Sus scrofa: one gene and its partners. The protein of the gene in region 4 purifies or fractionates together with the protein of the main gene of each other region. This does not show direct contact. Links are inferred from orthologs where the notes say so. Each region holds a gene or a part of one and is shown on either strand. Other genes may lie near its edges. The genes, in order: NCBP3, LARP1, SRRM1 and SRSF3.

What was found.
Region 1: the proteins of SRSF3 (region 4) and NCBP3 purify together in Homo sapiens (co-immunoprecipitation; 3 studies listed by BioGRID and IntAct, with this or other methods). This does not show direct contact. The link is inferred for Sus scrofa from reciprocal best matches to the Homo sapiens genes SRSF3 and NCBP3.
Region 2: the proteins of SRSF3 (region 4) and LARP1 purify together in Homo sapiens (co-immunoprecipitation; 3 studies listed by BioGRID and IntAct, with this or other methods). This does not show direct contact. The link is inferred for Sus scrofa from reciprocal best matches to the Homo sapiens genes SRSF3 and LARP1.
Region 3: the proteins of SRSF3 (region 4) and SRRM1 purify together in Homo sapiens (affinity purification with mass spectrometry; 3 studies listed by BioGRID and IntAct, with this or other methods). This does not show direct contact. The link is inferred for Sus scrofa from reciprocal best matches to the Homo sapiens genes SRSF3 and SRRM1.

Annotation. Positions count from the first base shown.
Region 1 is NC_010454.4:49,896,859-49,902,782, reverse strand, and holds part of NCBP3 (nuclear cap-binding protein subunit 3), read left to right. Parts: intron 1-1,953; coding exon 1,954-2,082; intron 2,083-2,684; coding exon 2,685-2,761; intron 2,762-3,730; coding exon 3,731-3,839; intron 3,840-5,924. UniProt on the Homo sapiens protein: Associates with NCBP1/CBP80 to form an alternative cap-binding complex (CBC) which plays a key role in mRNA export. NCBP3 serves as adapter protein linking the capped RNAs (m7GpppG-capped RNA) to NCBP1/CBP80.
Region 2 is NC_010458.4:68,405,761-68,411,684, reverse strand, and holds part of LARP1 (la-related protein 1), read left to right. Parts: intron 1-302; coding exon 303-447; intron 448-4,639; coding exon 4,640-4,814; intron 4,815-4,932; coding exon 4,933-5,102; intron 5,103-5,924. UniProt on the Homo sapiens protein: RNA-binding protein that regulates the translation of specific target mRNA species downstream of the mTORC1 complex, in function of growth signals and nutrient availability.
Region 3 is NC_010448.4:82,314,935-82,320,858, forward strand, and holds part of SRRM1 (serine/arginine repetitive matrix protein 1), read left to right. Parts: coding exon 1-65; intron 66-886; coding exon 887-1,002; intron 1,003-3,751; coding exon 3,752-3,955; intron 3,956-4,399; coding exon 4,400-4,594; intron 4,595-4,873; coding exon 4,874-4,993; intron 4,994-5,924. UniProt on the Homo sapiens protein: Part of pre- and post-splicing multiprotein mRNP complexes. As a component of the minor spliceosome, involved in the splicing of U12-type introns in pre-mRNAs. Involved in numerous pre-mRNA processing events.
Region 4 is NC_010449.5:32,287,174-32,293,663, forward strand, and holds the start of SRSF3 (serine/arginine-rich splicing factor 3), read left to right. Parts: upstream 1-2,290; 5' UTR 2,291-2,427; intron 2,428-4,130; 5' UTR 4,131-4,132; coding exon 4,133-4,338; intron 4,339-5,832; coding exon 5,833-5,967; intron 5,968-6,490. UniProt on the Homo sapiens protein: Splicing factor, which binds the consensus motif 5'-C[ACU][AU]C[ACU][AC]C-3' within pre-mRNA and promotes specific exons inclusion during alternative splicing.

The DNA of each region.
Region 1 (5,924 bases), on a different chromosome or scaffold from region 4:
GGTTACACACCATGAGTGTTCTAAGTCAGCTCAGAGGTGGTGATCAGGGCTGGAGGATTGGTTGCTGGCGTCTGAGTGGGTTTCCCAATAAAGAGGTGGGTCCAACTGCATAGACGTGGGGCTCCATTTTCAGGGCTTTGGACTTTGTCATTGCAGTTGCCATACAGCTCTCTAGAGGGCTGTCTCTGACCTTGAGCTCAACCAGAACCCTCTTGACACTGTGCCAGACCTTTCACCTCTGCTTGCTTGTTGTATTTGTTTGTTTGTTTTAAGGACTGCACCCGTGGCATGTGGAAGTTCCCAGGCTAGGGTTGAGTCCGAGCTGCAGCCGCTGGCCTTTGCCACAGCCACAGCAATGCCAGATCCTTATAACCCAGATCGAACCTGCATCCTCATGGATACTAGTCACATTCTTAACCCACTGAGCCACAGCGGGAACTCTACCTCTGCTTGCTTTGAATCATGTTTTCTGGCACTTCATCTGCTTTGCCTTAATCTGTGAGCTGTTCCACTTGTGAGCTAACTGTACTTTTTAACTTGCTTCCCACTCCAAGTCTGGCTTGACCTCTGGTAACCAAACTGCTGGCTTCTTATCTTTTTTTTTTTTTTTCTACACCCATGGCATACAAAAATTCCTGGGCCAGGGTCTGAACCCGAGCCACAGCAGTGACAACACGGAGTCCCTAACTGCTGGGCCACCAGGAAACTCTGCCACTGGCTTCTTGTCTTAATTCACTTCTAGTCTGGCTTTAATTACTGCCAGCTTGCTGACCTGGTTTTCCTGGCTGCTTTCTTTAGATGTTATTTCAGTGTTTTCACTGAAAGAAGAAGAAATATGACTAAGTAAAAGGTTTTTCTCCTTTTTTTTTTTTTTTCGGTTCTAACTTAGACCGTCCAAAGCAGGGGTTGGAAAACCTTTTTTGTAAGGGCTGGATAATATTTTAGGCCTTGCAGGCCATACAGGCTCTATGGAGTGTACCCAGCTCTGCTATTATAGCATGATAGCAGCCATAGGCAGTATAATTGAATGAACCTGGCTGTTTTCTATACAAACATGTGGTGGGTGTGTAGTTTTTTGTACATTAATTATAACTAAATAAAGCTGTAAATAAAACATGTAAATAGCTGGGTGGTGGATGAATGAATGAATGAATAAACAGGTGGTGGGCTGCATTTGCTAACCCCTGATTTAACAGAACTATAACTAAGGAATGTTTGAGTCAGAGGGACCCTTAGAATCATCCAGTTCAGCTACCTCCTGCTGTACATCAGAAACTGCGAAACAGAGGGAAGTTATTTGCTTAAGACCATGTGGCATATTATTCACAAGAATGAGAATCCTTAGACCTTCATTTCCCAAACTGAGACAGGGATAACAGAGACATCAGTTTGAGAAATACTGCTTTAGAGTTAAACTTCTCAAAACCTTTTCCTTGATAAATTCACTTAAAGAAGCAAATTAAATTGGTTGCTGCAAAGCCAAGTGGCTGTCACACCTCCATGGTGTGTATGCCAATGGTGCCATTGTCACTTGACAGTAGGGGGACATCATTTACTATGTCTGGATGACAAGTAGCAGCAGAGGGCTTCCATGTGGGGGCAGAAGAATAAAGGATAATCCAAATTTATTTGACAGCATCATCGTCATCATTAAGGACGGCGAACATTATGTGTGACACTCCCTCTTCTGCCAGGCAGTCTTAATATACAGAACCCTTGTCCATGGAAGTCTAGACCTTTCTGTTGAGTCCAGTGTGTGAAGGCAACGCTAGGCTAATTTTATCAAAGCTTTTACTGCCATGTTCTGTGCTTCCTCTTATGAGTTGATTTTATATTTACTGATGCCACTTTGAGGCTACTGGAGACCATAGCAGTGAACATGATGTAGTCTCTGTTCTTAAGAAACTCCTTGTTTGGATGGGATGTAACGTGTTATTTTACATCTTATTTTAGGTAATGTCGTTTGGTTGGATGAAATGACGGCCGCAAGAGCCCTTATCAATATGAGTTCTCTGCCGGCCCTGGATAAGATAAGAAGCAGGGATGCCAGTGAGGACAAGTCATCTGAGAAAAGTAAAAAAGGTGACTGGCCACAAAGGAGGGACTTTGGGGCTGAAAGTCCTATTCTTTTTTTTGTTTGTTTGTTTTTTGTTTTGTCTTTTTGCTATTCCTTGGGCCGCTCCCGCGGCATATGGAGGTTCCCAGGCTAGGGGTCGAATCGGAGCTGTAGCCACCGGCCTACGCCAGAGCCACAGCAACTAGGGACCCGAGCCACGTCTGCAACCTATACCACAGCTCACGGCAACGCCGCATTGTTAACCCACTGAGCAAGGGCAGGGACCAAACCTGCAACCTCATGGTTCCTAGTCGGATTCGTTAACCACTGCGCCACGACGGGAACTCCTGAAAGTCCTATTCTTTACAGGTTGAATTTCTGTGCAAAGTGTCACCTAGCATCTCATGGCCAGTTTTTTCTGAAGTCAACTATGATGCTTTGGATCATTCATAAAGAGGAGGAGAAAATAGTAGACTTTTAACATACACGAGATAGAGTTATGTTAAGGTTCATCTTGTCCCTCGCGTTCCATTTTATTTTTGAAATTTTTTAATTTTGTTAAGGTTTTTATTTATCGTATTCGACTGACAATGTTGTGTCTGTTTCCGCTGCCCGGCCTTCCGTTTAGACAAGCAGGAAGACAGTTCAGACGATGACGAGGCTGAAGAAGGAGAAGTTGAGGATGAGAACTCCAGTGATGCAGAGGTCAGTAAGGGGGTGAAGGTGTCCAGAGCTTTCGCTGTAGACAGCTGCTTCCTGTCTTGCTGGTGAGCCTTAACGACGTGCTGCCACGTGTTCTTCCTCTGGCTTTCACCTCAGACCTCCTGAGGGGGCACCAGGCTCTTGGCCTTTCAGTTCGTGTGGCTGTAGTGAGCGATTGATCTTGATGTCTTAGACGAGTACTCCACTGCTCTATTAAAGGAAATGATTGTCTTGAGAAATAGCTTGAAGTGGGGTTTTGGTTTTTGTTTTTTTCTTTTTAGGGCCGCCCTCGTGGCGTATGGAAGTTCCCAGGCCAGGGGTCGAATCGGAGCTGCCAGCTGCCAGCCTACAACCACAGCCACACACGATCTGAGCCGTGTCTGTTGGATCCTTAACCCACTGAGTGAGGCCAGGCATCGACCTGCACCCTCGTGGACCCTAGTCGGGTTCATCACTGCCGAGCCACCACAGGAACTCCTGAAGTGTTATTCAATCAGTAACATTAAGGAAGAGCGAGTAATGGGATATTTCTTAATGGAGTATGTACTGTTGTTGGAAATGTTAAAGTGTATTCATTTAAAAATTATTTATTGAGTGCCTACTATATACCAAATTCTAGGTGCTGGGGATATAGCGTCAAGCAAACAAAGTCCCTGCCCTGTCGGAGCCTACATTCTAGTGGGGAAGACAGACAGTACACAGATACGCAGATATGTAATGTAATGTCAGGAAGGATGAGTGCTGTGAAGAAAAGTAAAGAAGGGTAAGCGGCTAGAGGACGATGGAGACGACTCTCTTAGACAGGTGGTCGAGGAAGCCCTCTGACTTAGACATCCTGCAGCCGAACTGGCGCTCTCTTGCTGATGGGTGCTTTTAAAGACAGACTGCTTTCTTAACCACTGGTACCTTTGCTACTGAGTAAATTTGAATAAGCCTTTAATTTTTGTATTGAAAATGCTCTTTTTCCTTAAGTTGGACACATTGTCTCAGGTAGAAGAAGAGTCTCTGCTAAGGAATGATCTTCGCCCAGCTAACAAACTTGCTAAAGGAAATCGGTTATTCATGAGATTTGCGACGAAAGGTAAATGTGATAACTGGTAGTGATTTTTATTTTTAACCAAATGATTTTTATCAAGTGACACCTTCTCTCTCTTTTGAATCGAAAGTTCAATCAAGTGGTCTCAAAGGTCCTTCAGACTGTAATCTTTCTGTGCTCGTAAAATTGTTGGCTTGCTGCACGAGTTGGCATTTCAGACATTGAAAGTGAATATTAGTCATTTGTGTACTTTAGTTATTTCTGGCTAAGGTAGATTATTTTCTATTAAAGCCAGTATGCCCCCCTCTGCTTTTCAGCCAATTTATCATCTGAACTATGAAAAAATTTTTAAATTATATTTTATGTATCATAGCAATATCTTCTTGGACATTGCTACTAGTGCCATTCAACTCTAATTCTCTAAGGAATTAAAAACCTCTTAACAATTCATAAGGCTTTTTATGCACAGTGATTTGGTGTACATTTATAGTGTGTGTGTTTTGAATCAATTGAGAGTTAATTGGAGATGACAGCCCTTCACCCCTGAATATTTCAATATACATTTCTGAAGAACAAAGACTTTGTCTCACACACAGTTGTCAAAATGAGAAAAAAAATTTTTGGTGCTTTTTAGGGCCACACCTGCTGCATATGGAGGTTCCCAGGCTAGGGATCCAGTCAGAGCTATAGCTGCTGGCCTGTGGCACAGCAGTGCCCATCTGAGATGTATCTGCAACCTACACCATAACTTGAGGCAATGCCTGATCCTTAACCCATTGAGCGAGGCCAGGGATCAGACCTCCATCCTCATGGATACTAGTCAGATTTGCTACCGCTGAGCCACAGAGGAAACTCCAAAATCAGGAAACTTAACATTAATACACTACTGTTACGTGATCTGTAGTCCACATTCATATTTTACCACTTCCTGTAATTCCCCACCTCTGAATATGAAAACTGCCTGGCATGTAGTGAGTGCTACGTAAGTGATAGCAGTTCTTGACGATGGTGATGATGGTGAATACATTTGGATTATTCCTGTTTTATTTTTACAGCCACACCTGTGGCATATGGAAGTTCCTGGGCCAGGGGTCGAATCTGAAAGCATCTGGGACTTAGACCACAGCTGCGGGAGCACTGGATCCAAGCCACATCTGCAACCTATGGTGCAGCTTGTGGCAACACCAGATCCTTAACCCACTGAGCAAGACCAGGGATCAAACCCATACCCTCACAAAGATAACATCAGGTCCTTAAACTGCTGAGCCACAACAGGAACTCTTGCACTATTCTTTACACTGCTCCCCACTGTACTAAGATCTACTCCAGGACTGACGGGGTATGAAGTCCGCCATGTCTCCTTAGCCTCCCTGAATGTGGAACCGCTCTAAGGAATTAAAAGCCTCTTAACAATTCATAAGGCTTTTGTTTGGTACTCTGTTTTGTTTTCCTTGACTGAGACATTTTTCGAAGAGGGTAGGCTCATTATTTTATAGGCTGCCCTTTAGTTTCAGTTTGTCTGATGTCTCCTCCTGATAATTATCGTGTTGTGCATCTTAGGCAGGCATACCACAGAAGTGAGGTTGTGTCGTTTTCAGTGCTTCCTATTAGGAGGCACATCTATTTATTTGTCCCACTCCTGGGGGTGTTAACGATTGCCAGGGTTCTCCACTGTAAAGTTACTCTTTTTCAACTTAGAATTCAAAGATTTTATGGGGAGTTGCTTTGCGACTATGTAAATAGCCTCTTGCTCATCAAACTTCCATGTAATAGCTTTAGCGTCCATTGATGACTTCTGAACTCTCATTTATTTGTTGGCAGTGTGGTGAGGAAGAGCTTTCCCGTTTTACCCATTTATTTATGTATTTAGCTATTTATATCAGTTTAGATTCATGGGTTTTTATTTTTATTTAAAAAATTTTTTTTGGCTGCATCCGTGGCACATGAAAGTTCCTGGCCAGGGATCAATCCCCCACCACAGCAGCAACCCAAACCACTGCAGTAACAATGCCAGATCCTTAACCCACTGCACCACATGGTAACTTCTTGTGGATTTTTATTTTATTCTGCGAGTTATGATCTGTTGTGTCGTTTTGATTCACAAATTATATTGGATTTGGCCAGTAGAGC
Region 2 (5,924 bases), on a different chromosome or scaffold from region 4:
CGAGGAAATAGGTCATTGCAGTAGAGTATGATAAGTGTTTTAGAAGCAGCAGAGAAAGTGGAACAGCAGCATTGGAACTGGGTTTTAAAGAAGGATGAGGAGCTTGTCAGGCGTACGCAAGAGGCTGAAGGGCAGAGGAAACAGTTTGACCCAAAGTTAGGGAGCATGAAAGGATAGGAGATCTCTTTTCAGTCTTTGGGACAGGGTTGGTAAGAGGCTGTGTGGCCTTCCCGGAGTCTACAGAACAAGGAAGTCACCTTCATAACGATGAAGTAATCATGCCTCTTCTCCCCTCCACCTAGTGAGTACTACTTCAGCGTGGACAATTTAGAGCGAGACTTCTTCCTGCGACGAAAAATGGATGCTGACGGCTTCCTTCCCATCACACTTATTGCTTCCTTCCACCGAGTGCAGGCCCTTACCACTGACATTTCACTCATCTTTGCGGTATGTCTCCCTCCCTGGGGCTGGGGCGCAGGGCAAAGAAAGGTCCTTGCATAAGGAGCCAGAGTTTGGGCCAAGCCCCTGGAGGAGTCCCCACCTTATTAATTATGCTAAGGGTCTAGGGCTTGGCCAGCCTCTCTCTCTTCCTCTCCCTCCTTCCCTCCTCTTTCTGCCCCCTCCCCCCCATATTAGGGAACATTTTGGATGTGGAAAATTTACAAAAGTAGACAGAATTGTGTCATGAGCTTATCCAGCCTCAGCAGTTATCAGCTCATGGCCAGTCTTACTCCATATATCTCATCTCTTTTCTCTTCCAAATTACTTTGAAGGAAATCTCCAGTAACCTCACTTTTATCCTTCCTTGTTTTAGTACCTAACTCTAAAGATATAGATGTGTTAAAAAAAAATATATCACCACATATTTGGTCAGTTGCAAATGCATCCTACTTGTAAAAAAAAAAAATTCTGTTAGTAGTTTCTGAGACTCAGGATCCAGGTAAGACCAATATATTATTGTTTTATTAAGTCTCCATCCCTCTCCTTCCTTTCCCTCAGAGTTTATTATTTGAATATGCTCAATTGTATGTATTTCAGAATTTTCTGTAGGACACAGGGTAACAATTTTCACATGTTCTTCTGTACTCCTGGTTTTCTGTCGATTGGTGGTGGAGAAGCCCAATCACATTCCAGCTTTTTGGGTTTTTTCCCTTCTCCTTGGTCAAGAATGCTTGTTAGGTGGTGATAGATTCTCAGGTGGCACATAGTGCTTCACTTCATTCTCTCTTTTGCCATATAAGCTGCTATTGACAATCACTGCCTATTAATTTCATTAGAGACCAGAAAATAAATGGTTGTATTGTATCGGTCTGTCTTGTTAGCCGGAATACCTCTTTAAGGAGGTGCTTTGCCTTATCAAGTGTTGGGTTCCAAGAGGTGTATAGTTTGTTCAGGAAGGGCGTACAGGTGCCTGATCTTTCCCTTTATTATGGAGTCAGTTTTCAGAATTAGGAGCAGATCCCTAATAACTTTCAAAAGTAATCAGTGAAGGGAGTTCCCATTGTGACTCAGCAGTAATCAACCTGACTAGTATCCATGAGGACTCAGGTTTGCTCTCTGGTCCTGCTCAGTGGGTTAAGGCTTCAGTGTTGCTGTGAGCTGTGGTGTAGGCTGGTGGCCACAGCTCCAATTTATGACCCCTAGCCTGGGAACTTCCGTATGCCACAGGTGTGACTCTAAGCAGACCCCCCCCAAAAAAAGTGATCAGTGAGGTTTGAGTTCTCTTTTTTTGTTTAACTTAGTATCATCACAAACTGGTAGATTCAAACATTTTGTTTATTTCAATTTGTTGCAGTTACTATGCCGAATCAAATTGTCCCATTCTTTGGCCAGTGGGACCCTGGTTTGTATTTCCTGCCCCAGATCTAGAATTGGCTATTTTTTTCAAGGAACTCTTGGTCCTCTATTTGGGGAAATGGTATTTAAGGTATTTAGATACCTCAGTCTGAGTTATAGAGGTGTTTATTGCTACTTGATTGGTCACTGTTTCTAGAGCTTTTTTTTTTTTTTTTTTTTTAATAAAATCCAACATGAGATCATACTGATATCTTCCATTAAAAGCAAGGGGTATAGGGTCTTTACTTAACCCCAAGGATTTTTTATTTGTAACTGCTGCTTTCTCCCATGGCAAAAATCCCAATTCTTAACGGCATCTACATAGCTATGTGTTTGTTTTTTTACTCTATGGTTTATACACATTATACTTAAAAATAGTCTCCTGCTCATAAAAAGGTTTCTAATTTATACAGTCAATGACTGTATTTTCAAGTTATTTAAAATAATTTGAAATGTTTTATGTGGTTGTGTCTTTAACTTAATAATGTGTATTAGTTTCATTAGTTTTGTTTTGCTCTCAAGATTATGGGGATTGCTTTCTTACTGCTAATTCCTAATTTTGTTTTACCTTTATGTAAAACATTTACATAGGTCCAAAGTCAACATGGTGTGTTCATAGAATTCTGATTTAAAATTCTCTCACTTGTACCTTTTCCCTTTTATTTCTCCACATAAGCAACTTTCTTTTGAATCCTTCCATTTAAAAAAAAAGGAAATGCCTCTGTGTGTCCCCTCTCTTTGATAAACGGTGATGTGGCACGAGTATTTCTTTACCTGTTCTTTCTTGCTTTCACCTAACATATCTGGGGCTTAGAGCATAGTAATAGTAGTAACTGGAAGATATTCCTCATTCCTATTTACAGGTGTACATATATCTATTCCTGTTTACAGGTGTATATATATCTTTTTGTGTTCTAGTTAGTTTATCTTTGTGTTTTTTTGGGGGGAGGGGTATTTTGGATTTTTATTTTATTTTATTTGGTTTTTTTTTTATTTATAATGATTTTTATTTTTTCCATTACAGCTGGTTCACAGTGTTCTGTCAGTTTTCTACTGTACAGCATGGTGACCCAGTTGCACATACATGGATACATTCTTTTTTCTCCCATTGTCATGCTCCATCATAAGTGACTAGACATTGTTTCCAGTGCTACACAGCAGGATCTCATTTAGCTAGTTTAACTTTGGTGTAGATTTCTAGAAGTAGAATGGCTCAACTAAGGGGTCAGTGCATGTAATTGTGCCAGCTATTGCCTGATTCCCTTACTCGTAGGTGTGCCTTTTGCATTCTTCTCAGAAAGAGTGCCTCTTTCTCCAGCCTCACCCGTTGCAGTATGTTTGTTCCATGTTGAAATGTTTTCCTCTTCCTGGCTGTCAGATTTTTAAAAGGAAACTCTCCTCTCTCCTTTTTTTCACCCTGCTTTCCAGAGATAACACACATAGCAGTTTACCTGTGAATCCTAGAAAAATTTGAGTGCATTTCTATGTTTTTACTTAAAAATCCAAACACCAATGGGGGTTGTTTTTGTTTGTTTTTCGTTTTTGTCTTTTTTCTAGGGCCGCACCCATGGCGTATGGAGGTTCCCAGGCTAGGGGTCTAATCAGAGCTGTTGCTGTCGGCCTACACCACAGCCACAGCAATATCAGATTTGAGCCACCTCTGCGACCTACACCACAGCTCACAGCAATGCTGGATCCCTAACCCACTGAGCGAGTCCAGGAATCTAACCTGCACCCTCATGGTTCCTAGTCAGATTTGTTACTGCTGTGCCACAACAGGAACTCCCAGACACCAATAGGATCTTAAACTCACTGACCTAGTCCTACTTTTTCATGGTCTTTACCACCTCAGCACATTTGAAGCTGATTTTTTTTTTTTCTTTTTTTTTTTTTTTTTTTTTTCTTTTTAGGGCCACACCTGTGGCATATGGAGGTTCCCAGGCCAGGGATCCAATCAGAGCTGCAGCTGCCGGTCTCTGCCACAGCCACAGCAATGCAGGATCCGAGCCGCATCTGCAGCCTACACCACAGCTCACAGCAACATGAGATGCTTAACCCACTGAGCGATGCCAGGGATCGAACCCTCGACTTCATGGATGCTAGTTGGATTTGTTTCCGCTTTGCCACAACGGGTACTCCTGAAGCTGATTTTTTTAAGCTTGAGTAGTGTTCCATTCAATGATGTGCCGTCATTGGTTTAAATTATCTAAGTGGTGGTGAGTTTGTTTGTTTGTTTTTGCTTTTGAGAGCTATATGTGTGGCATATGGAAGTTCCCAGGCTAGGGGTCCGGTTGGAGCTGCAGCTGCCAACCTACACCACAGCCACAGCAACATGGAATCCAGGCTGCATCTGCAGCTCAAGGCAACGCCAGATCCTTAACACACTGAGCGATGCCAGGAATCAAACACACATCCTCATGGATACTAGTAGGATTCTTAACCGCAGCAGGAACTCCAATTTAGTTTTTTTTGTTTACATTGTTGCTGTGAATAGCTTTCTATCCAAATCTTATACATGTTGTCACCTGTCGTGCAAGTATTTCTCTGGGGACAGTTCCTAGAAGTAGAATGGCAGGGTAAAAGGACAGGTGTGTTTTTCATGTTCATACCTTCCTACAAGTTTGAGCGTCTCACTTGTTCACTGTCATGGGAAAGGGTGCCAGTTTTCTTAGACTCCTGCACTGGCCTCATACTCCTGCTTTTCTTACATCTCCTAAGCTCAGGGGGCCCAGTCATCAACCACCTTAGAGGATCTCAGTCTGTCGATGTCTTTCGTCTGCATCCTCTCTCTCCTCCTCGGCAGGCACTAAAGGACAGCAAGGTGGTGGAGATCGTTGAAGAGAAAGTCCGCAGGAGGGAGGAGCCAGAGAAGTGGCCTCTTCCTGGTCCCCCAATAGTGGATTATTCCCAGACTGATTTCTCCCAGCTTCTCAATTGCCCAGAGTTTGTGCCACGCCAGCACTACCAGAAGGAGACAGGTAGGTACCTGCTGGCATGTGGATGTCTCCCTGTTGCCCTCATCCTTCCACCAGCAGTCCCTCAGGGCTGGCCTCAGGAGGACTGGCGGGATGAGGACCACCCCTTTCCGCCCTTCAGAGTCGGCGCCCGGCTCTCCCCGTGCAGTCACCCCAGTGCCAACCAAAACAGAGGAGGTCAGCAACCTAAAGACACTGCCCAAGGGCCTGTCTGCCAGCCTTCCAGACCTGGATTCTGAGAATTGGATTGAAGTCAAGAAAAGACCTCGGCCCTCCCCTGCACGACTGAAGGTGAGCGAAGCCTGTCCCCTGGCCTGGAGCTTGGGGGCGGGGGTGTCGCATAGGCACAGAGCTCTGGGCTCTGAAGGGCTAACAGGCAGGCTGGGTGCCTCAGGGTTGTAATGCGAGCTGAGGTCACCAGTGACTTCAGGAAGGCTGATACGGTGAGTTTGCATTTCCAGTGGGGACTACCCCATAGGGCAGTCTTAGCTCTGAGTTCCTGGGTGGTGGTTTTCACAGAGGGAGATCTTGTAGCTTCTGGCAGCCGTGTCTCATTAAGTGCTGAGTGGTTCTGAATACTTGGTTCTTTTACCCTATTTAAGTCCCTGGGGCTACGTTTTGATTGCTTTCTCCCTGTATTTGTTCTTAGTGTCGGCAAATAAGCCCCTCAGACCCTCTGAAGAGGGAAGGGAGAGGGAGCAGATACATGGTGTGACTAGATTTGAGTCTAGAGTAGAATACAGGTTTCCTGCCACTGCTGGCTGGTGGTGACCTTGGGAAGTTTCTTTAACATTTCAAGGCTTTAGGAGTTCCTGTCGTGGCTCAGCAGCAACGAACCTGACCAGTGTCCGTGAGGACATGGGTTCAGTCCCTGGCCTTGCTCAGTGGGTTAAGGATCCGGGGTTGCCATGAACTGTGGTGTAGGTCACAAACGTGGCTTGGATCCCATGTGGCTGTGATGTAGACCAGCAGCTGTAGCTCCAATTTGACCCCTAACCTGGCAACTTCCGTATGGCACAGGTGCAACCCTAAGAAGACAAAGGGATAATCATATCTCAGGGCTTCATTTTCTCCATCTTCAGATGAAAGAAAAGAGGGATTAGACTGCTCTGG
Region 3 (5,924 bases), on a different chromosome or scaffold from region 4:
AAAACATCGCTGGAATCCCTTCTGCTTTCCTAGAACTGAAGAAAGAAGAAATAAAACAGAGACAGGTAATAGCCTTTTCCTTTTTGTAATGTTTTATTTGAGAGAGCAGTATCCAGACTGTTAAGATGTTTAAAATTTTACATGTCCTGGCTAGGCTTAATAGCCTTTTCTTTTGTGTGTGTGTGTGTGTGTCTTACTAGGAATCAAAAAAAAAAAAAAAAAAACCAAACAAACAAAGAAAAGGAGTTCCCATCATGGCGCATCTGAAATGAATCCAACTAGGAACCATGAGGTTGCGGATTCGATCCCTGGCCTCAGAGGGATCAGAGGCTACAGCTCAGATTAGACGCCTAGTCTAGGAACCTCCATATGCTGCAGATGTGACCCTAGAAAATACAAAAAAGAAAAAAACTTACTAGGGTTGCACTTGCGGCATATGGAGGTTCCCAGGCTCCGGGTCCAATCAGAGCTGTAGCTGCCAGCCTATTCCACAGCCACAGCAGTGCAGGATCCGAGCTATGTCTGCGACCTACACCACAGTTTATGGCAACACCGGATCCTTAACCCACTGAGCGAAGCCAAGGATCGAACTCCACAACCTCATGGTTCCTCATCGTTTCCATTGCACCACGATGGGAACTCCGAAAACAGCCATTTTCTTTAGTTAAGCCATTCAGTATTAATTTTCAGCAAGTATTTGAATTATTCATTACTAGTTCTAAAGTTTACCTTTAGCGGGGATGAAGAAAGAACGGTCTTGTTGAAAGCAGAGGCTGATGAAACGACAAATAGTATTGGTGTTTATCCAATGTGCAGTCAGTTTTCCGTTTGCTTGTTGATTGTAAATGTTCGATTGTGTTTTACTTTGAAAATCTGATCTTTACAGATTGAACAAGAAAAGTTAGCATCTATGAAAAAGCAAGATGAAGACAAGGATAAGAGGGATAAAGAAGAAAAAGAGAGCAGCAGAGAAAAAAGGGAGAGATCTCGAAGCCCAAGAAGGTACAGGACAATCTGCATACATACCTAATATTTTATGAGTATGTTAGAGTATTCTCTATGCAGAAAGTTACACAGCTAAAAAAGGAGCTGGAGGAGTTCCCGTCGTGGCGCAGTGGTTAACGAATCCGACTAGGAACCATGAGGTTGCGGGTTCGGTCCCTGCCCTTGCTCAGTGGGTTAACGATCCGGCGTTGCTGTGAGCTGTGGTGTAGGTTGCAGACGCGGCTCAGATCCCGAGTTGCTGTGGCTCTGGCGTAGGCCGGTGGTTACAGCTCCGATTGGACCCCTAGCCTGGGAACCTCCATATGCCGCGGGAGTGGCCCAAGAAATAGCAACAACAACAACAAGACAAAAGACAAAAGACAAAAAAAAAAAAAGGAGCTGGAGTTCCCGTTGTGGCTCAGTGGTTAACGCATCTAACCATGAGGTTGCGGGTTCGATCCCTGGCCTTGCTCTGTGGGTTAAGGATCCGGCGTTGCCGTGAGCTGTGGTGTAGGTTGCAGACGAGGCTCGTATCCCAAGTTGCTGTGGCTCTGGCGTGGGCTGGCGGCTACAGCTCCGATTAGACCCCCAACCCCGGGAACCTCCATGTGCTGCAGGAGTGGCCCTAGAAAAGGCAAAAAGACAAAAAAATAATTAAAAAAGGAGCTAATAGCACTGTTCAGGAAATTTCTTCTATCATACAATTTTCATGGTGAGCTATTGCTTGCCTCTGGGCCAAAATACTTCATCTTTTGAGACAGATCATCATTTGACTGTAATAATTATCTCTTAAATCTTGGTGAATCAGTCAACCCTTAATTCTTAAATCAGAATGTAGACTTCTCATTCATATTGCTTTACTTTAAATTATTTTGAGTTATTATTTTTTCCATTGATTCAAAGTTTTATTACTCTTTATGTCTTGTTCTCTTTTGTATTTAAAGTTCAGTTGATTTACAGTGTTGTGCCAATCTCTACTGCAGAGTTATTTAATGTATTCCAGTTCTTTCTTCTCCATTTTTAAATTAGAAATCTATGCCCATTAGTTCTTTATATTATACTTACCTGATTCTGTTTTCTTTTCTTTTCTTTTTTTTTGCTTTTTGGGCTGCACCTGTGGCATATGGACGTTCCCAGGCTGGGAGTCCAATCAGAACTACAGCTGCTGGCCTATGCCACAGCCACAGCAACGCCAGAGCTGAGCTGCATCTGCACCCTACACCACAGCTCACAGCAGGATCCTTAGCCCACTGAGCTAGGCCAGGGATTGAACCTGCATCCTCATGGATCCTAGTTGCATTCATTAACCGCTGAGCCAAGAAGGGAACTCTTGTTTTGCTTTTCTTAGGTGATTGTTCTGAACCCAAAACAGGTCATTTGCTTTCTTCCTTCCACTGAGACTGGTTAGCCCCCCCACCTTTTTTTTTTTTGTCTGCACTGTATGTGGAAGTTCCTGGGCCAGGGACCAGACCTGCTCCACAGCAGTGACAAGGGGGGATCTTTAACTCCTAGGTCACAAGGGAACTCCCAAGTTTCCCATTATAAAATCCATGATTCAAGAGTTGTGGTGTAGTGGGTTGCGGATCCAGCATTGTCACTGCAGTGGCTGGGGTTGCTGCTATGGTGCAGGTTTGATCTCTGGCCTGGGAACTTGCACATGCTGAGGGCATGGCCAATAAGTAGAATAAGTAAGTAAATAAATAAAATCCATGATTTGGCTTCTGTAGTTGTGATGAAGGGTGAGAATTCCATTAGACATTTCATTTTTAGAGTTCTGCTAATTTTAATTTCTTCATAAATCTGCCAGAATTAGTAAAGGGAGAAAGTAATTTTTCTTCGTCCCCTTCATTTATAGATTTGATATTAAAAGCTGCTTATCAGGAGTCCTTCTCAGTGGCTCTGCGGTAATGAACCCGACTAGTATCCATGAGGATGCAGGTTCGATCCCTGGCTTCGCTCAGTGGGTTAAAGGATCTGGCGTTGCCGTGAGCTGTGGTGTAGGTCACAGATGAGGTTTGGATCTGGTATTATTGTGGCTGTGGTATAAGGCCAGCAGCTGTAACTCTGATTCCCACCCCTAGCCAAGGAACTTCCATATGCTGAGGGTACGGCCCTGAGAAGAACCCCCCCCCCAAAAAAAAGCTGCTTATCAGAGAAGCAGTATTATTCCTAGAGTTACGCACAAATCATGGTAACTATTTGACTATTGATGGATCAGGTCTGCTGTTTTACTTCAGGTTAGGGAAACTACTGTTGAAATGGAAAGGCTTCTCTTTCAAAAAAGCTGTCTTAGCCAAGTTTGAAATGCTTCTTTTCGGAAGAACATATTGCTTTAGTTGCAGCAGATGTTATCCTAGAATACTTGGACTCTACCTGATGAACTCTGATGGGATCTGTCTGCATCCAATTTCTGTTTTGTTGGGTTTAATTTCATTATATTTCCTTCCTTTTAAGCACCCTCTTCCTCTGAAAAGTTGCTCTTTGCTTTCTTCATTTCTGGAAGTGATTAAGAACCTAAATCTAGAATCCTTAGTATGTTGTAACTGGTATATTTCGGAGAATATTATAATCTTCATTTGCTTGTTTTTCTGGTTTTCTCTTGGCCTTTTTCCTCTTAAGTAAATGTGATAGGATATCTTATTTCCATAGGGAACTTCTCAGATATAAACAACAGTAGTGTAATTAAAAAGATTAATCTCACTTCTTTTGACCCTCTTCCCCAGTCCACATTATTCAAAAAACCTGAAAAAAATTGCTTTCATCCTAGACGCAAATCCAGATCTCCTTCCCCTAGAAGACGATCTTCCCCTGTCAGGAGAGAGAGAAAGCGCAGTCATTCTCGATCTCCCCGTCACAGAACCAAGAGCCGGAGTCCTTCCCCTGCTCCAGAGAAGAAGGAAAAAACTCCGGAGCTCCCAGAGCCATCAGTGAAAGTGAAAGAACCTTCAGTACAAGAGGCCACTTCTACTAGGCAAGTACATAATAAATGTCTGCAGTTTTAGGCTGTTATTCGGTGAGTGTAAATAGGTGTACCTCTGAGTTAGAAATGTAAGCTTACTAATTTTCTTTTTAGGTTATTTAAATTACAAAGTTAGATTGTTGAGAAATTTAAATTGTATAGGAGAGTATAAGTAAAATGCCCCCAAGATGACCACTGCTATCTGCTGTTTTTTTAATTTCCAATATTATATACTGTAACCTGCCCCCGTCCCAATATTATGGACAACTTTGCAGTTTTAAGAAATGGATGTGGTTAGAATTGTTGGTTGTTCACTGAATTTTACTGATGTGTATATATCTTTCTAGACATCTTCATGAATTTTGAAAACCAAAGAAAGATAAACTTTTTGTATCATTGTATTATGACTTGGGATTCTGAGAAGAGGGGGAAAGTAAGCTTTTTTTCCCCCCACAGTGACATCCTGAAAGTTCCCAAGCCTGAACCTGTACCAGAGCCTAAAGAACCTTCTCCAGAGAAGAATTCCAAAAAGGAAAAGGAAAAGGAGAAGACCAGACCAAGATCTCGGTCACGTTCCAAGTCAAGATCCCGGACACGTTCTCGCTCTCCTTCTCATACTCGACCTAGAAGGCGCCATAGATCCCGATCAAGGTGGGTAATGGCTGTAATATCTGCCTAGATCTTAAATTTTATGTGCTAACTCTCCTAGATAGAATTGGGTAAATTATTTCAAAGCAGTAGAAAAATTTTGCACAAATGTTAAACTTTGAATTTAGAGAGAATTTGAGGGCACTTTGTATGGTCTGTAAAAATCTACACACTCATATCCCTTGAAAACCGTTTTTTGGATGTAGTTGTCAAGAAAACTATGTCAAGGTGTTTGTTCTTGCTCAAGATTTATTCAGATTCTAATTCTGTTTGTTATGGTAGATCATACTCCCCTAGAAGGCGGCCAAGCCCAAGAAGACGGCCATCTCCTCGAAGAAGAACTCCACCGAGACGAATGCCTCCTCCACCAAGGCATAGAAGGAGTAGATCTCCAGTGAGACGGTGAGAGGTGGTTTTTTGTTTTGGAAGTGACCATATATTTGTTTTAGGCTAATCTTTGAATTAGTGTCATCCTGGGAAAAAAGAAGTCATGAGTGGTATTAAGCAATGTCTTATAAAGATCATCCTCATTTGAGGTTGTAGTGCTGTTACTTGTGCAATGCTAAGCAACACTAATCCAGATTTGGAAAATTAAAAACAAATTCACTATCTTATTGATACTTGTTATCTGTGTTAACCTTGATCTTTTCAGATGCTACCAAGAAATCCTATCAAGTAAGGGAATTGGCTGCCTTACCCTTTCTTTGGGTTTTAACCATTAGCTTCTAAATATAGATGACTGCAGAGCCAGTTGATTGCTCTACCAGTATTAAAATAATTCACTTGATTTATACTCTTAAAGATTTTTTTCATATTTAAGAAGTAGTGAGCAGTTATTATAAACAGTTAAAACAAGTAAAACGAACTTAGAGTTACCCAGTCCCATTCCATAGATATAACTATTGTTAGCAATTTGAAGAGGCCGCATAAAAGTAACCCTGTCAATACCAGTGTTCCTTTTTAAAAATCATTTTTAAATTAGCATAAGGTGGAAGTTGCTGTTGTGGCTTAGTGGTTAGGAACCCAACTAGTATCCATGAGGATGCAGGTTCCATTCCTAGCCTCGCTCAGTGGGTTAAAGGATTCAGCATCACTGCAAGCTGTGGCATAGGTCGCAGATGTGGCTTGGTTCTGGTGTTGCTGTGGCTGTGGTGTAGGCTGGCAGCTGCAGCTCTGATTTGACCCCTAGCCCAGGAACTTTCACGTGCTACAGTTGTGGCCCTAAAAAGAAAAATCAATAAATGAATAAATTAGCATAATCTATCACTTGTAATAGAAAAATTGTTACATCTGCCCAAAGTGGAGGCATGGTGTACTGGTAGCAGAGCTTTGT
Region 4 (6,490 bases):
GGATACTGATATGTGAAAAGAACATTTGGGAGTTTCCATTGTGGCTCAGCTGAAACGAATCTGATTATTATCCATGAGGACAAGGGTTCGATCCCTGGCCTCACTCAGTGGGTTAAGGATCGGGTGTTGCCATGAGCTGTGGTGTAGGTCGCAGATACAGTTCGGACTGGAGTTGTTGTGGCTGTTGTGTAGGCTGGCAGTTACAGGTCAGATTCAACCCCTAGCCTGAGAACGTCAATGTGCCACAGGTGCAGCCCTTAAAAAAAAAAAAAAAAAAAAAAAAAAGAACATTTAAAAAGAGCATTTTCGAGCAAGGGTTGTGCCAGCTTATTTATCTGCATTATTTATTTTAATTAATTAGATAATTAAACAAATATGTATTGATCATCTGCTCTCTGCCAGACTTGTTTTCAGGCCCTGGGGAGGCGGAGTGAGCAACAACAGTCCAAAGGTGAAGTTCCTGGAGTTCCCACTGTGGCTCAGTGGTTAACGAATCCAACTAGGAACCACGAGGTTGTAGGTTTGATCCCTGGCCTTGCTCGGTGGGTTAAGGATCCAGTGTTGCCATGAGCTGTGGTGTAGGTGGCAAACACAGCTCGGATCCCATGTTGCTGTGGCTCTGGCGAAGGCCAGCAGCCTACAGCTCTGATTAGACCCCTAGCCTGGGACCCTCCCTATGCCACAAGTGCAGCCCTAGAAAATACAAAAAGACAAACAAAGTTGAAGTTCCTGTAAGTGGGGAGACTGCATGTAACAACCCTGCAAGGCTTGGTGTAGTTACCCATTTTACAGAGAGGAAACTAATATTGAGATGGTAAGGGATATTTCTCCAGACACTTTAGCAGTAAGTAGCAGCAGTACTGTGGGTCCAAATATAGGACTGTCTGACTTCAATGGCTTTGCTTTGATAGAAGGAAATAAAAAGAGGAGAAAAGCTTACACAGGAAGAGAGGAGCAAATCAAAGCAAATAGAAGTAAGCCAGAATAGAAAAACATTTAGAGAAGGAAAGAAGAGGAAGAGAAAAGCTTTGCTAGAATTCCTACCTGGGAAAAACCCAGGTAAGACCAGCTCAGGGCTTGGCTCAACAAATGTAGTTTCCATTCTCCCTCTTCCCTTGCCAGTATGAAATCCTCGTTTTTTACAGGTGTGAAAACTCAGAAACAGTAAGTCGTGTCTCCACCCCACATGGATAGATAAACTTCTTAGAGCCACAATAAGAGAATATCTGGGAAAAGGAAAGCAGTGAATGTTTGGCATATCTTTCAGCTACTGGTGGAAAAATACAAGTTATTATTTTTCTTGAGAGCAGATTTAGATACGTTAGTAAGTCAGACTCCACTGAAAGGGGAGGAAACCAGGCAACCCTCTTAGCTGAACTCACTGTTCCAGAGAGGAAGATCTTGGTGATTTTTCTAACAAACCATTGGTATTTCTCTCCCAATAGTTAATTTCGTGGCTCAGTTCTTTTCAGAGGAAGTGGAAAGCAGAGAGGAAGGTGTTAGTGAACCATAGACCCCCCACCTCTGAGCCCCGGTCAGTACAACAGCCTTTGCCAGAAGACAGACTGGTATTCGTTGCGGAGGAGAGGGGTGCCGAATTCAATCTCCTCAGGAACTTCCTTTTATACTGTTACTAAATGCGATACTTTCTGGATGGCCTGACCCGTCTCATTTGCCTTTGAGTTTCTATTAAACATTTCAAGAGTCCAAAATGATGACGCCATCGTCTCTGCCAAATCGTGCAGTTTGGGTGAGAGGTGGCAGACCAGCCAGAGTTGGGCCGACTTTCCGTGACTGGGCTTTTCCCCAAGTGTGGGACCCGGAGGGGCACAGTGTGGTGACAGCGGGTTCACAAACAGCCCCGTGACCTTGGGAGCAACTCCGAAGCACGTTTGTAAACGTGATGGTCTCAGTTCCTGCCTAACCGCTCATGCGGAGCAGTAATTAATGAACTCATTTTATACTGTAATCTTATTGGGTGCAAAAGGCTCTATCAGTGTTTGGGTGTGACCGGCGATGATGTTATTAAATCCCTATTAATAGGCTATTTGGAGATGAGGGAGAGGTGACTGAGGAGAACTCGGCAACAGGAGAATTACACCGAGGGAGCTCTGGCCCTGAGGCACGACGGCTGCGCGCGTCTCCACCGACGAGGCAGCACAACCAGAGAAGGCTCTCAGCAACCGCGGTTCTCGCAGCGTTTGTGGCCATTACGTCACGGTCTTCTTCGCCTCTCATTGGGCGAACCCGTCCAATCATGTGACTCCAGGATGGCTTATAAATACAGGCGAGGAGACGGTGTTGGTCCGCCATTTCGTGGACGCCGGATCGGGGAGAGTATCTGCTGGAGCCAGGCGGGAGGGGAGTGGGAAGAGACAGCCGCGGGTGCGTGGATTTGAGTCTTCGCATTTCTAATCTAAGATCTCGGTAAGAGACCCAGCGACTAAAGGAATGAGGTGGGAAATGGGCCTTAACAGGACCGAGGTGGGGCCAGGCCCAATGGCGGCGCCAGATTGAGACAAAGAGACGCTGCCGCCATTTTGTGACGTTCAACACGGGGCGGTGGAGGGGGCTCCCGGCCCCCCGGAGCAGGCACCCAGGCTTCCAAGTGGAGGTGCTTATAACCCTTCCCTGGGGGGCTGAATCGGGAAGTGAGATTGCTCGAGTTGAGGCAAAGGGGGTATCGGTAATCGGTTGTACTCTAGATCGCGGCCATTCAATTTATGGCGCCTTTTTTTTCTTTTTGCCCACGTTTCCTTAAGTAGCGGCTTAGGATTTTTTTTCTTCAAGTCACTACTCAAGACTGGACCCTTCGATCCATATTTGAGGATTTCTCTACTTTCTTTCATTTTCGTGTTACTTTAACTTCACTTTTTACAGCCTGAATCCAATAACTATTTTTTTTTAAGCTGATCTTTCTTGAGCTGTATTGTTCTTATAGCTGCTTCGCATTAAAACTGGTCAGGGTAAAGTTTTTGGGAAAGATTAATTCACCAACAATGGGTTTGGTCTCGGAACTTCTGGGCACAGGGCGGGGTCACACAAATAGGATGTGTCTGGGCGGGTATTTTTTTTTTTTTTAATTGGATAACGTGTTTATGAAAAGCCCTTAAGCTGAGTTTTTGGACAGGCTGCTTTTCGTATGTAATCTACAAGTTGATTAGATTCGTTGCTGAGGCGGCTTTATTAGTATTGAAGGTTTTTCAAATGTAAACTAAAGTGCCTTAAGTTCTTGCACAACAAATAATCTATTTTTTTCCCCATGAGGTGGAGTTAATGTAACATTCATTTTAAAGTGCACGATTCAGAAGCATTCGATACCTTCACAATGTTGTGTAACTATCACCTCTATCTAGTTTTAAAGCATTTTATTATACCCACTAAGGTGACCTGTACTGTTAAGCAGCCACTACCCTTTTGGCCTGCCCCTTTCTCTCCCGCAGCCCCTGGTAGCTACTAATCTGTCTCTGGATTTACCCGTTTCGGATATTTCACATACATGGGATGGTATTACGTGTATTTTTTTTGTCTGATATCTATAACTTAGCATGCTTTCACGTTTTGTCCATGTTTATGGGTACTCGTTCCTGAATACTCCATTGTATGGGTAATAATTTTGCTTCTCCATTTTGTTGCTGGACATTTGGGTTAACACCTTTCGGCTGTTGAGGGTAGAACAAGATATATATTTTTAAAAAACAAGTTTGTCCTGCTTGAGTAAAGTTTTGGCTTGTGAAGGCACATTACTATCACTTTTTTAGTGGTTTAGCCTTAACTGCTGTCTTGTCTTCACTTGTCATTTTGTTTTGTAGTCTCCAGGTTTTGCTTTTAATCCTACTTTTCAAAGTTGTTCCTCCCCCCCCTTCAGATAACTGAAATAGGTTTAAGTCTCTCAGTTCCCATTTTGTGGCATATGCTCCCCTACTGTTTCCTCCCTCCACTTCTCTGGGAGGTGATTTTTTTTTTTATTTTCTTACACAGCTTGGCTTCCAGGTGGTTATTGGCAACGATTGGGGTGTTTCAAGGGTAGTGCCTTTACCTTTTTTCGGTTTTTGAATTCTTTCCTAAGGATCTGTTTTTTACTGTGTGGGTTATGATATTTTGGATTTTTTTTTTTTTTTTTGTTACAGAAATGCATCGTGATTCCTGTCCATTGGACTGTAAAGTTTATGTAGGTAATCTGGGAAACAATGGTAACAAGACTGAATTGGAACGAGCTTTTGGCTATTATGGACCACTCCGAAGTGTATGGGTTGCTAGAAATCCTCCTGGCTTTGCTTTTGTTGAATTTGAAGATCCCCGAGATGCAGCTGATGCTGTCCGAGAGCTAGATGGGAGGTAATTTGTTAATTTTTGCTAATAATATGTTGTTTGTCCTTTTAATATTTAAAATCTCTAGGATAAGAGGTTTTTAGATGGCTTTGTGGAGATTTACATAAATTTTTTTTTTTCTGGCCAAAAAAGGACAACGGTTTTAGTGACGATACGTAGGGAGAGTTTATTCAGTTTGCCATTGAAGAAAAGAATTTTATTTGCAGTTGGCGGGTGGAGAGCAGCATCCAAAATATGACTGAAATATTTTAATCTAAATCCACTATAAATAGTCATGTTGTAAACTTTGAAATCTAAAATTGTGGAATCAGACATTCCCTTATGGTCACATCCTGATTGATTGTAGCTGGATGATGGTTACATGGGTTTATTGTACCATTATCTTTACATGATAACACTTTTTTTTAGGAAGTGTGGGTGTTATTTCCCTATGCTTTTAGTGTCTTGTTGACTGGCTAAGTAACACCTGAGGTTAGTTGGGTGTTTTGTTTTGTTTTTTGGTTTTTTTTGTTTGTTTTTTCTGTGCTAGTGGCTTGTGGATGTTCCCAGGTTCTGGGATCAAATGTGACAGTGCTGCATTCTATTTTTTTTTTTCTATTACTCAGTGAACTTATTACATTTTTAGTTGTACGATGATCATCACAATCCAATTTTATAGGATTTCCATCCCCCAACCCCCCCAAACTGTCTCCAGTGCTGCATTTTTAACTTGCTGAGCCACCGGGGAACTCAAATAACACCTGAGTCTTAAAGTGAACTAGTGTTGCCCTTTATCCTGGCATTTGCAAACCACTGGATTTCATGAAATCAAGGAAAACTTTGATCCTTAAGATGGAAAACTGAAAGGATCTGAGAGTTGGCTGTAAAGCTATATGAAAGGTCACTTAACTAAGCAAATTGCAGAAACTGGTTGAGAGCCCCACCTCTTCCCAGTGTCTGTCCAAATGTGGCTTATCTAAACTTAATGGTTGTGGACCAATGAAGAGGTGGGAGATAACTTTCTTACTGTTCTCACTTGCAATTTCTTGTCAACTATTGTGTGATGATTGAGTGGAGAGGGTTGTATTAAATAAATGGCCAGAATGCTTCTGTCCTGTTTACTGCTCTTTACTTGGAGGTATGAAGAGAAAGGAGACCAACAAATATAGTAAGGTTGGTAAACAATTGCTGGGACCTCAAAGGAAGTAGTCACACCAGCATGTACAGATGAACTAATTCTTTGAGAATGGATCCAGGGATTTTCACACTTAATATTGTCACTGTGATCATTGAACCCAATGATCACACTGACTAACAAAGCAATAAAATGTAAGGAAGGTGTTTTTTACCAGAAAAAAATATAGAAACTAAACCTTGTTTTGGTGTTAAGAATTCTATGAGCATTCAGATGTTTCTTACACAGAAACTAGCTATAAATGAATGTTGGGGTTTTTTTCCCGCTTTAATGTGTATCTTTTAATCAATCCGGCTGCTTTAAATTTAATGTTTCTTCCCTCTTAGAACGCTGTGTGGCTGCCGAGTAAGAGTGGAACTCTCTAATGGTGAAAAGAGAAGTAGAAATCGTGGCCCACCTCCTTCTTGGGGTCGTCGCCCTCGAGATGATTATCGGAGAAGGAGTCCTCCACCTCGCCGCAGGTACTTAGAGAGAGCGTGTTTAGAGGTATTGGTGTAATGGAGTAGCTGATAGGAACAGGTATTCTCTTAAAGTTTGTTGGTGGGTTTTAAACTTTGAAGAATCAGAGGTTTTTATGAAACATTTGCTGGGCGTAGCTTGGGGTATGTGAGTTGTGCTGAGTGTTGGCTTTTGTCTTAGGTCACTGTTCATGTTGGTAGTCAGTAACTTCTATCTTGGATCTATCTTCTAGTTCATCTTCTAGTTGCATCTTTCCAAGTCTTCCCTTATACTTCAATTTAGGCCTTTTTCCATTTCTTGACTCCATAATGACAAACATTACATTCAATTCTAGCTCTTCACCAAAATGTGTTTTCTACTATTGTAATATTTATCAAACAGGCAGCTGTTTTAATGTTGCAACTGGTAAAGTAGAAGTCATTCTGAAACTAACTTAAGTCACTGACCAATAAAGGGGGCTAAAGTAATCCCAGTCATCTGTTCTTCAAACCCAAATAGGAGAGAATTCAGTTTTTTTATAATTAA